Alligator mississippiensis: one gene and its partner. The protein of the gene in region 1 purifies or fractionates together with the protein of each later gene. This does not show direct contact. Links are inferred from orthologs where the notes say so. Each region holds a gene or a part of one and is shown on either strand. Other genes may lie near its edges.

Evidence for each region. The genes of interacting proteins can lie anywhere in the genome.
Region 2: the proteins of torsin-1A (region 1) and CANX purify together in Homo sapiens (affinity purification with mass spectrometry; 4 studies listed by BioGRID and IntAct, counting the BioPlex papers as one, with this or other methods). This does not show direct contact. The link is inferred for Alligator mississippiensis from reciprocal best matches to the Homo sapiens genes TOR1A and CANX.

What each region holds. Positions count from the first base shown.
Region 1 is NC_081835.1:58,706,746-58,714,482, reverse strand, and holds the start of torsin-1A, read left to right. Parts: upstream 1-4,724; 5' UTR 4,725-4,746; coding exon 4,747-4,954; intron 4,955-5,236; coding exon 5,237-5,502; intron 5,503-7,469; coding exon 7,470-7,645; intron 7,646-7,735; coding exon 7,736-7,737. Other genes in the region: torsin-1A, read left to right, coding at 2,234-2,472. UniProt on the Homo sapiens protein: Protein with chaperone functions important for the control of protein folding, processing, stability and localization as well as for the reduction of misfolded protein aggregates.
Region 2 is NC_081832.1:74,511,737-74,518,595, reverse strand, and holds the start of CANX (calnexin), read right to left. Parts: upstream 3,012-6,859; 5' UTR 2,915-3,011; intron 2,472-2,914; exon of another isoform or gene 2,297-2,471; intron 1-2,296. UniProt on the Homo sapiens protein: Calcium-binding protein that interacts with newly synthesized monoglucosylated glycoproteins in the endoplasmic reticulum. It may act in assisting protein assembly and/or in the retention within the ER of unassembled protein subunits.

The sequences.
Region 1 (7,737 bases):
TACTCTGCCCTGTGCCCTGGGGTCGAACACCCCCCGTGGACTCAGGTGCCACTCATCGATGTGCCTGGCCCACAGCTTGCCCCCTCTCTCAGGGACTGAACTGCTCTTCTTACAGGGTCTTCCATCCCTTCAGGCTCAGGTGCTTCTCAAAGCAAACCTGGCCTCCACTACTCCCCTTCAGGATCTTGCATCCCAATGAGCACAGGTGTCCCCTATGGATGTCCCTGGCCCCACTACTCTCTGATGTTATCACTGTGATCCACCGAGTGGTGGAGGGGCAGGGCTTTAGGTGCCCCAACCCACCATACACCAGGGAGGTCCTTGATCCTGGAATTTGCTGGCCCTGCCCTGCCACAGGCAGGACCACCAAGCCTCCCTAGCTCAGGAGGGTGCGGTTTTAGGTCATGCCCAGGACCACTAAGGCCTCCTTCTTCCCCATAGCCTCACCCTTACCTCCAAGCTGTTCTCAGAGCAGCAGCTCTTCCAGGAGACATCACTTCCTCCATATCTGACAGCAGAGTACTGCCCCCAGCCCTGCTGGCGTGGTACTTAAAAGGCTGCTCATCAGGGCTGGGCTGCACCTGCCTGCTGTCTGATCCAGGTCTTAAGGTGGCAGAGCCCTTACAATGTTTAACAGGGAAGGCTTTTCCCTGCTGCTCCCCAAAACAGGCTCCCCCAGAGCCTGTGACAGCCCTAAAGTGGCGAGCACCCCACTGGTGCTCTGCCACATCCACTGTAACCCCCAGGTCCTTTTCTGCAGAGCTGCTGCTTAGCCAATCAGTCCCAGCCCATACTGGTGCATGGGATTGTTCCATTATGGGTGCAGGAACAATCCTTGTCCTTATTGAATCTCAAGAGATTTCGTTTGGTCCAAACCTCCAATTTGTTGAGGTGTCTCTGAATCTTAGCCCTACCTTCCAGTGTATCTACTACTCCCCCCAGCTTGGTGTCATCCATGAACTTGCTGAGGGTGCACTCCATCCCATCTTCCAGGTCACTGATGCAGATATTGAACAAAACTGGCCCCAGGACCGACCCCTGGGGCACTCCACTTGATGTCGGCTGTCAACTAAACTTTGAGCTATTGATTGCTACCCTCTGAGCTCAATAATCCAGCCAATTTTCTATCTGCCTTACAGTCCATTCATCCAACCTGTGCTTTCTTAATTTGCTTGAGAGAATATTGTGGGAGACCGTATCAAATGCCTTGCTAAAGTCAAGGTATATCGTGCCCACTGCTCTCCCTGCATCCATAGAGCTAGTCATCTCATTATAGACGGCAATCAGGTTGGTCAGGCATGACTTGCCCTTCGTAAATCCATGCTGACTGTTCCTAATCACCTTCTCTTCCAAGTGCTTAGAAATGGATTACTTGCAGATCTGCTCCATGATTTTTCTAGGGATTGAGGTGAGACAGATGGGTCTCTACTTCCCTGGATCTTCCTTCTTCCTTTTCTTAAAGATGGGCACTATATTTGCTCTTTTCCAATTGTCTGGGACCTTCCCCAATCAACAGGAGTTTTCAAAGATAATGGCCAGTGACCCTGCAATCACCCTTCCTCAGGACCATTGGGTGTGCCCTGTGTAGCCCCATGGACTTGTACACATCCAGCTTTTCTAAATAGTCCCTAACCTGTTCTTTTGCCATTGTTGGCTGCTCATCTTCTCCTCAAACTGTGCTGCCAGGTACAGTAGTCTGGGAGCTGAACCTGCCTGTGAAGACTAAGGTGAAAAAGGATTGAGCGCTCCAGCCATTTCTACACCCTCTGTCATTAAGTTGCCTCCCCCATTTAGTAATGAACCCATACTTTCCCTGATCTTCCTCTTGTTGCTGACATACTTGTCAAACCCCTTCTTTTTATCCTTCACGTCCCTTGCTAGATGCAACTCCAGTTGTGCTTTGGCCTTCCTGATTTCATCCCTGCATGCCTGAGCAATGCTTTTATGCTCCTCCATAGTTATTTGTCCAAGTTTCCACTTTTTGTAAGCTTTCTTTTTGTGTTTTAGCTCACTGGAATTCCCTGCTAAGCCAAGCTGTTCTGCCATTCTTGCTAGTCTTCCTGCGCATTGGGATGGTTTGTTCCTGCACCCTCAGTAACATTTGCTCTGCACCTTCACAACATGATGACTAGCTCTGCTTAGTGAAATGTTATGTCCCAGCTTTCTTCCTCTTTACAAATGAGGTAGATGCCTCAGGTATCTAAGCTTGTGCTTTCTTCTATTTTTTTTGCAGGTGGCTTTTGGCACAGCAGCCTGATAGACAGAAACCTCATTGATTTCTTTGTCCCCTTCCTACCTCTGGAGTATGAACATGTGAAAATGTGTGTCAGGGTGGAAATGGAAACACGTGGTTACCCTGTGGATGAAGACATTGTAAGCAGAGTAGCTGATGAAATGACCTACTTCCCCGAGGAGGAAAAATTGTATTCTCGAAAAGGATGCAAAACTATACCCAACGCTGATTTTGATTAGGAATAGTAATGTTTTATGATGCTGCAATCTGCAAAGCAGCAAATGAACTTAAGAAGCTCGGGGAAAACCAAAACTTTTTATTATTTTTCAAGCACTTTTTCTTTTTTTTTTTTAGAAAAGAGAGCAATACCATTTTTAATTGTCTGTCTGATTTAAATAAGTGGCAATCACTTTCATTTTTATCCAGGGGAAACTTTCAGTAGCTACAGCTCCTAAAAAGACTTTGTGCAAGAATCCACAAAGAGGGAAGAATTGTACTTTAAATAAGAATTAATAAGAAACAGAGCTCTATTACGACCATGTAATGCCTTATACTATACATTACTTCCTTTGGGTAACACCTTGCATTTAGGGAGCACACTTCTTCCTTTGTCTTCAGTTTGCCATACATTCATTTATTAGCTCAAATGTAGTCAACAATAAGCTCTGTTCCTGGCTCTGTGCCACTGAGTGACTGCAGAGCCTTAGACTTCAGGCCTGTGCTGTTCAGTTAGGAAAGACGTGTCTATGGAGAAGTTGCCCCTTATGGATCATTGTTTAACGTGATTATTCTCAGACCGGGTGTTGATTGTTAGTTGTGCAGTAGAACCCTGGTACACGTGCTATGCCAGTTTTCACCACGTTGTTATTTGATGTGGAAATGATCTCGGTATTGTATGGCACTTTTTAAACAGAACTCTTATGTCTTCAGGACCCTTCCTCGGTGTTGTAGTTGGGAATATCATCAGACCTGCTTTGAATGGTGAATACATTGGGGGGGGAGGGGGGGGGCAGTTTCCTTAGACTACAAACATTTTTGGTGCATTCAGCTCTGTTGGAACCAATAGGTGAGAGAACCTGGTATAAGACGTCCGGTCCTTATCACCTGGTTTTATGCAGTGCCATTATGAGCAAATCCTTTGGTGCCAAACAGCGTTAGCAGTGTGAGGCATCCAGCTTGCTAGGGGAGTATTTTTCAACAATGCTGAGAAAAAAACCATACCCTAAAGCAAAATCCGTGACAGTGTCCCTGCAATGGAGGAGGTAGCCTGTACTTTTAGCTTTTTGATATGTGAAGTTGGATACGCAGTTTGTTCTCATGCTGGTGTTTCTCCTGCCTTGTGGGATCAATGTAAAAGGTTGTTGGGTAAAATCCATTGAGGCTTCTTGTTCAGATAGTTGGTTTCAGTCACAGGCACTGGGAACTGACCGCACATCTTAAGTCTTCTTTATTGTGTGGTTGGCATAAGGGACAGTTTGCTTTACTCACCAACTTTTATAAATCGATCCTGTTTAGTATGTTTGTGATCTATCCTTGCTTTTCCCCCCAAACATGAGGCAGAGCTATTAAGGAACAGATGAAGATAAAACACTACCTTGAAAAAGAATTATGTACTGTAAGGATTCAGCTAAAGTTATTATATGTGCCAGTCATATTTATACGTCGAAACACTACTGACATTTTTTACTCTGATTTCTAAATAAGATTTGTATTTTGTCAATAAAAGTTTTTAATCAAAAAATGCTTATCGGCTACCTTTCCAGTATGTGTGGATATGCATCGTGGACTGACTTAATGCTTCATTCTAGGCAAGTTTCCTGCCTAATAAGGACAGCTTACTTTTGCTGCTTTCTGCTCGAAACATAATTGTGCCTGGATACGAATCTCTGGTTTCAGGGATACTCAGGGGGTTGGTGCTGGAGATGGACCCCGCTTTTTTCTCATCGCTGAAAATAACTGTTGAGAGCCTAAGACTGCACGGATTTTTAAATTGGACCCAAATTAGTTTTGCAGAAGAAGTGTATTTTGGAGGAAGAAAACGGAGCAGCGAGACTTGTGCTTTTCCAGTGTGTTCTCGTTGGAGGCGGGTAACTCGCGAGCTTCGATCCGGTTGTTCTCGGAGCCGGCTCGAACGAACGACGGGACCGGCCACAACGCGGCTGTGCTGGCTGCCGCTTCTCTGTGGCTGCGGGGAGTCACCTCTGCACCCTGCATTTTGTTTGCTTGGACTTATTGCGGGGGGTGGGGGGGGTATTCCCAACTACTGGCCTTATTTCTGGTGCGCTGCCTTGAGATAACACGGGTTGGGTCGTGCCTGGCTCCCTGTGCAGGGGTGGTGTGTGTGCAGGCACAACGACTGCACGTGCAGGAGGGTGCGGGGGTCACGTGACCGCCCCGCCCGTTCCAAAATGGCCGCGCGCGCGCCCTGCCCCAAACCAAAATGGCGGCGCCGGAAGCGGCGGAAGCGGAAGCGCCGGTGAGGGGCTCGGGGCCGGGGCCCGGCGAGCCCGGGGATGAGGCGGCTGCGGGGCGCGGCGGGCGCCGCCCTGGGCCTGGTGCTGCTGCTGCTGCTGAGCCCCGCGCGCGCCGTGGAGCCCGTCAGCCTGGGGCTAGCGCTGGCCGGGGCCGCCTCGGCGATCACGGGCTACATCTCCTACCGGCCCCTCTACTGCCTCTTCGCCGAGTGCTGCGGGCCGCGCCTGGGCCGGCACTTCGGGCCAGGTGAGGGGCCCTGCCCTGTGAAGGGAGGGGGCTGCCCCGTGACGGGCTGGGCTGTGGTGGGAAGGTGTCCTGTTCTGGGGGGGCTGCCCTGTGAGAGGGGTTGGGGCGCCCCTGAGGGGAGCTGGGGCCTGCATTAGGGAGGGCAGTCGCTTCTCTTCCGGCCCAGCCCAGCCCTCGCCTCGAAGGGGTGAAGAAGCGGGTGTCCTCTCTCGCTTCCCAAGTTCTGACTTTAAACCTGCCGTCTCCCTTTTTTGCGTGCCGCGGCTGGCGCGTTCGCCGCAGCCCTGCAGCAGGATTTGGAGAAGAGGCTGTTCGGCCAGCACCTCGCGCAGAAGGTGATTGTCAAAGCCATCGCCGGCTTCCTGAGCAATGCGAACCCCAAAAAGCCTCTCGCCCTCTCGTTGCATGGCTGGACGGGCACAGGCAAGAACTACGCCAGTAAAATCATTGTCGAGAACATTTACAAGTCGGGCTTGAACAGCAAATACGTCCATCAGTTTGTGTCCACTCTGCATTTTCCACACGCGAGTCTTATCAGGCAATATACGGTAAGGGCACGTTGTGGAGCTGGTCACGCTTGAGGGTCGATTGTGAGGGACAGCCCTTCTGTCGCTTTCTGAAGCGTGTCGAACCAGCAATTCCCAATCCGTGGTACGTGTATCACCAGTGGCACACAGACCACCTGTCAGTGGTACGTGCTAACAGCTTTGTTATAGTTACTTTATACGACAAATTTGCTGGTGGTACTTAAGGTTGTATTGTTTTAAATCGGTGGTGTGCGATCTCTCAGAGTTTGGGAACCGCTGGTGTAGAAGACGGTGTTTATGCACCTTTTTACATCCCTCTTGAGGGGGAGAGTATGAGACCTTTCATTTTCCTTGTTGTATATTTTGGTCCAACAGTCTGGTTGACTTGATGATAACAGGGATTCTGGATACAATTGGGTATCACACTTGGATATAATGCTGATGGGTGCTATAGAAAACCTTAAGATAGATTGAAACAGCTGTGGTGACCAAAGCCAGGAAGTTGGGAGACGGGTTTAATTCCCAACTGTAAAGTAGTGGTAGTACCTCACAAGGAGTGTTGAGGCCCAGTTATACAAAGATCATGAAATGCTCAGATGAACTAGTAATAGGGTCATAAAACTACCTGAGACGGAGACTGTGCGCAAGAAATGGCATTTCTCTGAGTTCTTGTTCTGACTTTGCCACTGACTGTTTTGGACAATTCACCCTCCTTTCTTCCTGTGAATTGTGGTTGATGCTTTTCCACCTGTTCAGTAGTTGGCGAATATTTATATTATGTCCTGAACACATAGACACGGGGTGGGCAAAATATGGCCTGTGAGCCAAAATATGGATCTGTGAGCCAGATTTGGCCCATCAGCTGTTTGGATCTAGCCCAGAGGTGGGCCCCTACCAATTGACTGTATATGGCCTGTGGCTGTCTCTGCATTGCTCTGCTTGGGATCTGAGTCCTGCCTGCACCTGCTGACAGTCCCAGCCCTGTCCAGCATGCACAGCTTCCTGGAGGGACTGCTGCTGCTGCAGCTGCCTGGGTACTGCTCAGCACGTCGTCCTCCTGCTTCCCTGGCTGTGCCACTCTGGGCAGCAGGTAGTGCAGGGCAGTGATGACAGCTGTGAGGACGTGAGCCTGGCACCATGTGCCCAGCCAGGCAGGGGGTTGGTGGGGGAAGCTGCAGCCAGGTGGCTCTGCCCTAGTGCTTGGGGCTCCAGCTTCCAGCTACCTTTCATGCGCTCCGCCCACCTGGTGCAATGAGCAGCCACCTGCAGGTGTTTGACTGGGTGGAAGGTGGTGAGACAACATAAGTGTTCTTATATGATGTAAGAAAACACTTGAGTAAGGTTATCCACTTTTCTGAACAAAATCACACATTTTCAAATGTTTTAAATTCCCTCCAATTAGATTATGTGCTAGTGGTTAAAGGATAAAACCAGACATCATGAATTCTAGATTTTGTTCCCATCTAAGGCTGTACAGTCAGTCACCGGCACAGCTAGGAACAGAGCTTCTTGTTGACTGCATTTGAGCTAGTAAGTGGATGTATGGTACTTTGAGGTCAAAGGATGAAGTGTGCTATGTAAATGCAAAGCATCATCCAAAGAAAGTAGCATGCCATATACGGCATCACTTGGTCCTGTTAGATCTCTGTTTCTTATTCATTGTCATTGTTTTGGCTAAAGTACAGTTCTGTCCTCTGCTGATGCTTGCACAAAGTCTTTTCCTAAGAGCAGATTATTTCTGGCATCTCATTTTTTGAGTTCTTAAGGTTATTTGAAGAACCCTTAGGTAAATCTCTTGCGGTATTATTTCATCATTATTTATTGCTCTGATGCAGATTTCAGTGAAGAAGTCCAAGCTATGTTGGATGACAATTTTATGTTAGATCTTTTATACAAAAGACAGGGATCTAAAGTCATCGCGTGCTCTGTGTGTTCAGTATGATCTTGTGCACATGGAGCTTACATCCTTGTATCTTTGTGTACCATAGGATGACCTGCAGTCCTGGATTCGGGGGAATGTGAGTGACTGCGCCAGGTCAATTTTTATATTTGATGAAATGGATAAAATGCACGCAGGACTCATAGACTCCATTAAACCATTCTTAGATTATTACGAGCAACTTGATGGGGTGTCTTATCGGCAAGCCATCTTCATCTTTCTCAGGTAAGGAATGGCCTTGAATTGCTTACAGTGCTAAGACTGAGGGCCCTATGAAATAGCATCCAGCTCATAAACTTTTTCTCCTTAACATAGCA
Region 2 (6,859 bases), on another chromosome or scaffold:
AGCCATAGATTCTTCCGGGCAAGGAACATACTGTAATTATGCAATGCTGTACAATCACTTATAACCTAAAGCAATTAAAGCCATAGAATTTACCATAATCCACTAACTGTTTGGTTGCCATTTGTTGGTAGTGCTTTGTTAAAGCATACTTGCCTATTTAGTAAAGCATTTATTCTAAATAACCAATTCGGAAGAGCAGGAGAGCCTAATCCAAATGAAGGTTTGGACTACAGCCACTGTATTACAAAATGTGTGGGCAGAGGATACTGACCAGTGTTTGAGGGGGAAAGATTATGTCACAGTTCCAATATCAGGCCGTGACTGTGGAAACCTGTGTTCATACAGTTAAGTGGACTATTTGCATGACGTGCACCAAGACAGTCTTCCAAGTTCTTCCATTTGGAAATTAAGATAACATTACCTTTCACTAACGCTTTGCCTAAACCAGGGGTGTCAAATCAAGCAGTTCTGAGGGCCATACAAGAAGCCAGCCAGGCTACAAGCAAGCCACTGGAAGTTTTGGGGGAGATGGTTGGGGATAGAGTGTCCTGCTGCAGGCAGGGCCAAGGGCCCCTATAGACATGGCAATCAGTGGCAGAAGGGCTTTGCCCATTGCCACTGATTCAGCCCTACTGGCTCAGCCGGCCCTGCCACTGCCCCATGCTCAAGCCACTGCATGTCTCGTACCAGAACCAGAGTTGCCCCCATAGCACAATGTAGCAGCACAAGCAGCAGCTCCAGCACGTGACAGCAGTCAGAGCTGCACTGCATACCCTGGGTTGGGGGGCAGAGCCGTCACTGTTGCTGCATGCTATGGGATAGCTATGGCCTGTCTGGCCCAGGACACAAGAGGAGTTGGACACCTCTGGTCTAAACAGACTGTCACAGTATGTTTGTGGACAACTAGAAAGATGGGTCCTACCCTTCAGCCAGGGTTCCTAAAGACTACTCAACACACCCTCAAGCCAACTGATTTTGTACAAAGGACACAAAGTCATACACTTCACTTCAGGGAAAGAAACAAACAAAACAAAACCAACAGTAAAGGCAGCTGTGAGGAACAGCAATGATCCGGAAGTGTTAAAGCATAATCACTATTTACTTACATCCCTTCTGTACTTGAATTATCGTATTATGGACAGACAGTAAATATATCCACCGATACAGCCCCTGCTTCCACCAGTTTTGAACAAAATTTTCCAGTCCTAGAATGGCAACTTCTAATATAGTTAAATCTTTAAGTTTCAATTTCAACCACGAGCCAAGGCACCTTTCCTAGAAGAGGCTATAGCAGACAGGGGGGCTAATCAATACCACGTCATTTAGAGATACTACATTTCCATGAACTTCACAGAAACTTCTTTAGTTATCTACAGCTGTGCCCAGGAAATTCAACCAGCACCCCCACAGGGCCAACTCTTTATGATGTTTGCTATAACAGGCTCAGACAATCAAGAGATTAGTTATAATAATATACAACACCCAAGCAAAAACCTGCTTTTAGTAACAGTCTTCAAACATGTCAGCTTCTAAAAATAAGCTGCATCAATATAGGCACGGCGAAGGAAAATTCTGCGCTGTTTGTCAGCAAAGAGGTCATTCATGCAGAACTGGAAGTCCTTGGAGAACAGACAACACTGCAGGCTTTTTGATGGTTAACACACAGGAACTGCTAAGGCAACACAAAAAAAACTCCTTTCAACCCCCGCAAGATTTTTTTTTTTTTTTTTTTTTTTTTTACAAGGTGAAGAGATTATTTAGAAAGCTTGACATCTCATCTAGAAACAAAGTCTAATTTGTCCTGTACTCCAAAGCAATAAAAACCTTTACAAAGAACAGGGTTGGTTTAAGCATCAAGCTTAAATAGGTAAAAACAGGCATTTAACAGGAGGAAGAAGTGAGGTATGAAAAATAAATAAATAAATAAATAAATAAATAAAAGTTAAGTTGCCCATCCTGCCAAGATGGCTGTGTTTCACTCAACCCTTAAGGAGCCAAATCATTTTTAAATAGAAGTGAGACCTGTCTAATGAAAGGGCTTCCAAAAAAAGATGATTTTTCTACTTCTGCTATTAAAATTTGACCACTTCCTTTTACCAGTTTGCATTGGTTTTCCCCTATCCAGGATGAATAGAGACTCATCAGTCTCACTGGCTATATTCCAGACCCTCCAGCAGTGAACGGGATTTGGATACCAACGTTTCCACGAGAAGCTCTGCAGAAAACGACTGAGGGATGGTTTTGTTTTAAAAGAACCTTAAAAAAAAAAAATAACACAGAAGAGGGATTTACGCACAAGACACGTGTCTTGAATTCATAACCCGTCAGGCCAGGAAGATCACTGGGTGCAGCCCCCTGCACCGAGCAGGCGAGACAGCTGGGCCCCAAACTGTGATGATAATAACTGCTCTGGCTAAACCTGAGTGGCCTCGTGGCTGGACTCCAGCAGCTCAGCGCAGCCTCGGGCAGACACACGATTTTGCAAGTCAGGTTTATTACATCGGGCTGAATAATAATAATAGAAATAATAATGATGATAATACAAAAAATATTTTAAATTTCCTCAGCTCTACAGCAGACGTAAGAAGCAGCCTCCCCCCGACGCGAGCACCATCATCCAAGCGGGAAAAAAGCCCGTTTGGCGCGAGCTCATCGCACCCCTGCTCGAGAAAGGTGGGGAATAAACCGGCACAATCGGGGAAAGTCTTTTTCTTTCTCCTCCAGGCGGGGACGGAGCGCGCGCACGTGCCAGGCAGCGCCCAGGAGGGCACCGGCCGCCCAGAGCGGCCCGAGTAGGCCGAGCCCCTGAAGGGACCGGTGCTGGACCCTTCCCGCCCGCCCCGTGGGGGTCCCAGCCCCGCAGGCTGCGCCCGGCGGCCCCGGGGGGAGGTGAAGGAGGGGGACACGCACTCACCTCACGGCTCGCGCCCCCCAAGCAGCAGCGACCGCCGCCACCGCCCCCGTCACGTGCCGCGCTCCGGGCCGCCGCCCGCCTATCTAGCGCGAACTGGCTCCGCCCCCCGCTCTGCGCTTCCGCTCCCCCATTGGCCGACCCGGCCGCCGGCTTCCCGCCCCGGGGCTTTCCTCCGGGCACTATTGGCTCGCGATGCCGTCGCTCGTCGCTTCTCCCGCCTCCCCCGCCTCCCGCCCAGCGGTGCCCTTCGTGGAGCGCCTGGATTGGCGCTCCGCCGGGAGGAAGTGGGCCGCGATTGGCTCGGCGTCGGGCAGGGGGGTGGGGCCGGAGAGGAGGAGAAGAACGGAGTGCTGCTGCAGGGTTTGGCGGGCTCTTAAAGGGGCAGCGTCTCGGAAAGGCGTCTCGCGAGCTTCCTCGTGGCGGCACGGCTGGCTCGATAGGGGAGGCTGGAGAAAAAGCCGCCCCACGCGTCTGCCATGAGAGGGCCACCTCCTGTCCGGAGAAAGCGGGTCCTAATGCCAAATAGGAAAATTGGGCATCCTGTGCAAGGCAGTGTAAATATCAAGTTGTCCACACCACAAAAACCTCATGAGATTAAAAATTATAAATATGCAAATAAGGATTGTTTGGAGATTCAAATGACAGAGATTGGACTGGGTAAATTATGAGCGGGGAGCAGGGGCCCTGGTAAATAAAGTTAATTTTAGGGCAAGAATGTATAAATACGCAAGGACCAAAACAGTACGGCAGGTCTATGACATAGACCAAACATAATCTAGGTATGCTTTATTTCTTATTAGATAATAAAGTGATGAAAGTTAATTTGTATAGATTATTTGTCTGTCTAGTTAACAGTCAATCTATCTACATGCACACAAATATGTGTGTGTGTGCGTGTGTACACACATCTGTATATATATGCATATATATGTAATATGGAGATATATATATGCATGTGTGTATACATATCTATATACGTATATATGTATACACACATATGTGTACATATCCATATATATACACATATATGTGTGTGTATACACACATACATCCATACAGCCACTAAGCCAGTGTCCATCTCCAGATTGTTTGAACATTAATGAGTGTTATATTTACATATATAAACATTTTATTTATAATACAGGTAAGGTATAAGAATTGTTTTATATTATTTATTTTGTAAATATATAATACCTCTAATCTTGTGCAATTCAAGTCTGTTACTCGACTGTTGGAGTTTTGCTTCTATATTTGCTTGCATAAAAAAAAAAGTTAAAAACAAATAATAAATATTATGCTCTGTTTATTTATTTACCTTCTGATTTTTGAGCTTCTTGATCATGTTTAGGATGTTTCAAGCTCTTCTCTGCACTATATCGGCTAGATTGTTACAGGAAAAATTAAATTCCAAACTAATCACTTGAGATTTTAGGAAACCCACGAGTGTTAGCAATACTGGCCTGTGTATGTTGCACTTGCTGCACGCCATTTAGCCATTTAGGATTTCACTGCCCCAGCAGCGAGAGAGAATTCCCACCCTCCTGCCCTACAAACATAAAGTCTGAGGAAAATGTTCGTTAGCCGTCTGTGCGGTCTGACACGCATCTGAACAGTTCTGATTCTCTCCAGTAGAGGATAGCGATGAACATTCACATCAGCCAAATAATGATGACAATCTCTGGTGTAAAGCAACCCCTTTCACTTATCGATTAGATCAGTTTTGTTATATACCCCGTAATAGAAAAAGCTGTAAGCAGTGTGTTGTTTTCTGTCATTCATAACATTCTTTGATGCCTTGCAGATGTAAAATGCTTTATGTATGCCAGGTATATTGCAAACTTATTCTCATAACAGCCCTGTAAAGTAGGGAAGCAATGTCCCCGTTGTACAGATTGGGAAACTGAGGCACAGAGAGAGTAAACGTTTTGTAAAAGATGATACAAGTTATTAGTAGCATTGCTATAATGTAAAACAAGGACAGCATGAGCCAGAGATTAATAGGAATCTCAGATGGGAAAACCAAGCTCCTATCATTTATTCCTCTGAGCAGACACCGCCTTTGGTCTGTGCTGCTATGGCTATACCGCTGGCTAGCAGACCCAGCTCTAGATAAGTGACCGTGGAGATACCTGGTTCATTGGTCACCTCTCTTGGTTACAGTACAGTAACGTAGTTAGTAGCTCATCCCAACAGAGAGTGAGTGTCCTATCAACTGGATCTGACCTTGTAGCCTGTGGGGTAACAGGATTCTTTTTTAAACATGAATCTGCTTTGAGTGAGCACTATGAGTCAGCAAAATGCATCTCACCAGGGAGAAAATTCCACCACCCTAGGACAATGTGAGCCTGGGCCTGGTATTTAGAGTTAAGGCTCAGCATAAATGAGATCAGCAAATCTATCAACATTGAAGTCTGAATTCATGTTTTCCTTTTTTTTTTATTTCTAGAAAGGCACCAAGCTGATTCAAGCCTCGCTGGAGACAGGCCCGAACAGAGGCTAAACACAAGCTGCAGACAAGTGAGAAGAACAAGAGCAGCAAACTAGTCTCAGAAATACGATGCAGAGGGGCTTTTACCAAGGTTAAAAGCATGCAGCTCAATACTTCAATATGACAAGATGCAAACTGATGAAGTCCCTCTTCAGCCCAGGCAAAATCTGTTAGAACAGCGAGGCCGTGGAATAGACTGTCTGGGGAAGCTGCGGAGCCTCCTTCATCGGAGGCTTTCAAGAAGAGATTGGATAAGCATTGGTCAGGGATGTCCTAGGGGTAGCAATGCTTGCAGTGTGCATTGAAGAACGACGGCTGGAAGCCCAGGAGATCCACACGTACATCTCATTTGAGGCTCATGTGAAGAGCTCTGGAATCCAGAGTGGAATGTGAAGAATGAAGCGGAGCTCCACAACCAGCTCATGTATAAATCAGGGTTGAAAAGCTGGGACAAGTTTATAGGAGGGATAGGATGACAGAAAGAGGGGTTCTGGCTCTGTAGTTAGAGCGCGCGATGGATGGGTGTAGTTGTGCTTGTGATTCAATGGAGGGTGCTTGGTTTTCCCACATTTCTGAACTTTGCTAGTTGCCATATGAGGGATGGGAAGGAAGATTTTTCCCTCCAGCAGCTGCAAACGTCTGGGGTCCTGATGGGACTTAAACCCAGAGGTTCCTGACTAAAGGGTCTTGCTCCTCTGCTCAGTACCAGACCAATCACCATATTTAGGATTAGGAAGGAATTTTGCCCCATGGTCTGATCAGCAAGAACTATGGGGGAAGGCAGGGTATAACCTTCCTCTGGAGCAGGAAGCATGCTTCTCTTCTGTGGATCTCTCAAGTATACTTAACAAAGGACTGCACAGTACCCCCATCTCCCTGCTTTACCTGAGGTCAGCTAAAGTGTCCTTGATGTTTCTGGGCACAGTACCTGATACCTGGGCAAGAGGGTTGTACATACAATTTTGTGTGGACTAGTCTGGAAGGGTACTTGTCTGGGGTAGTTTGGATAGGGATAATCCTGTCTTGAGCAGAGGGTTGGACTAGATAACCTCTGGAGGTCCCTTTAAACCCTATGTTTCTATCATTTTATGATTGTATGCAATCCATGAATTTCAGGCCTTTCCCTGAGTTTGTAACTCAGCCAAAAAAACCCAACCTTGCTAAGTAACAAGACAGAAAACCAGTCCCCTGGGCAAAGCAGGCGACTGGAGCCCAGAGACCTACAAACCCCCCTCCCAACACACAACTGCTTTCCCTCTGCCTCTCTCTACTGCTTCTTGCTTGCCCATGATGGACTGTTATTCTTCTTGTCCCCTACAGAGTTATGTGGCAGGAAGACAGCTCTTAGCCTTTCCTTGGCTGTTTCACCCTGTTGAAGGGGAGACGGAGCAGCCAGTGAAACCACAGGAGAAAAATTCCAATTTTTATGCAGCCAGCCAAGCCTTGATTTTGGGGAG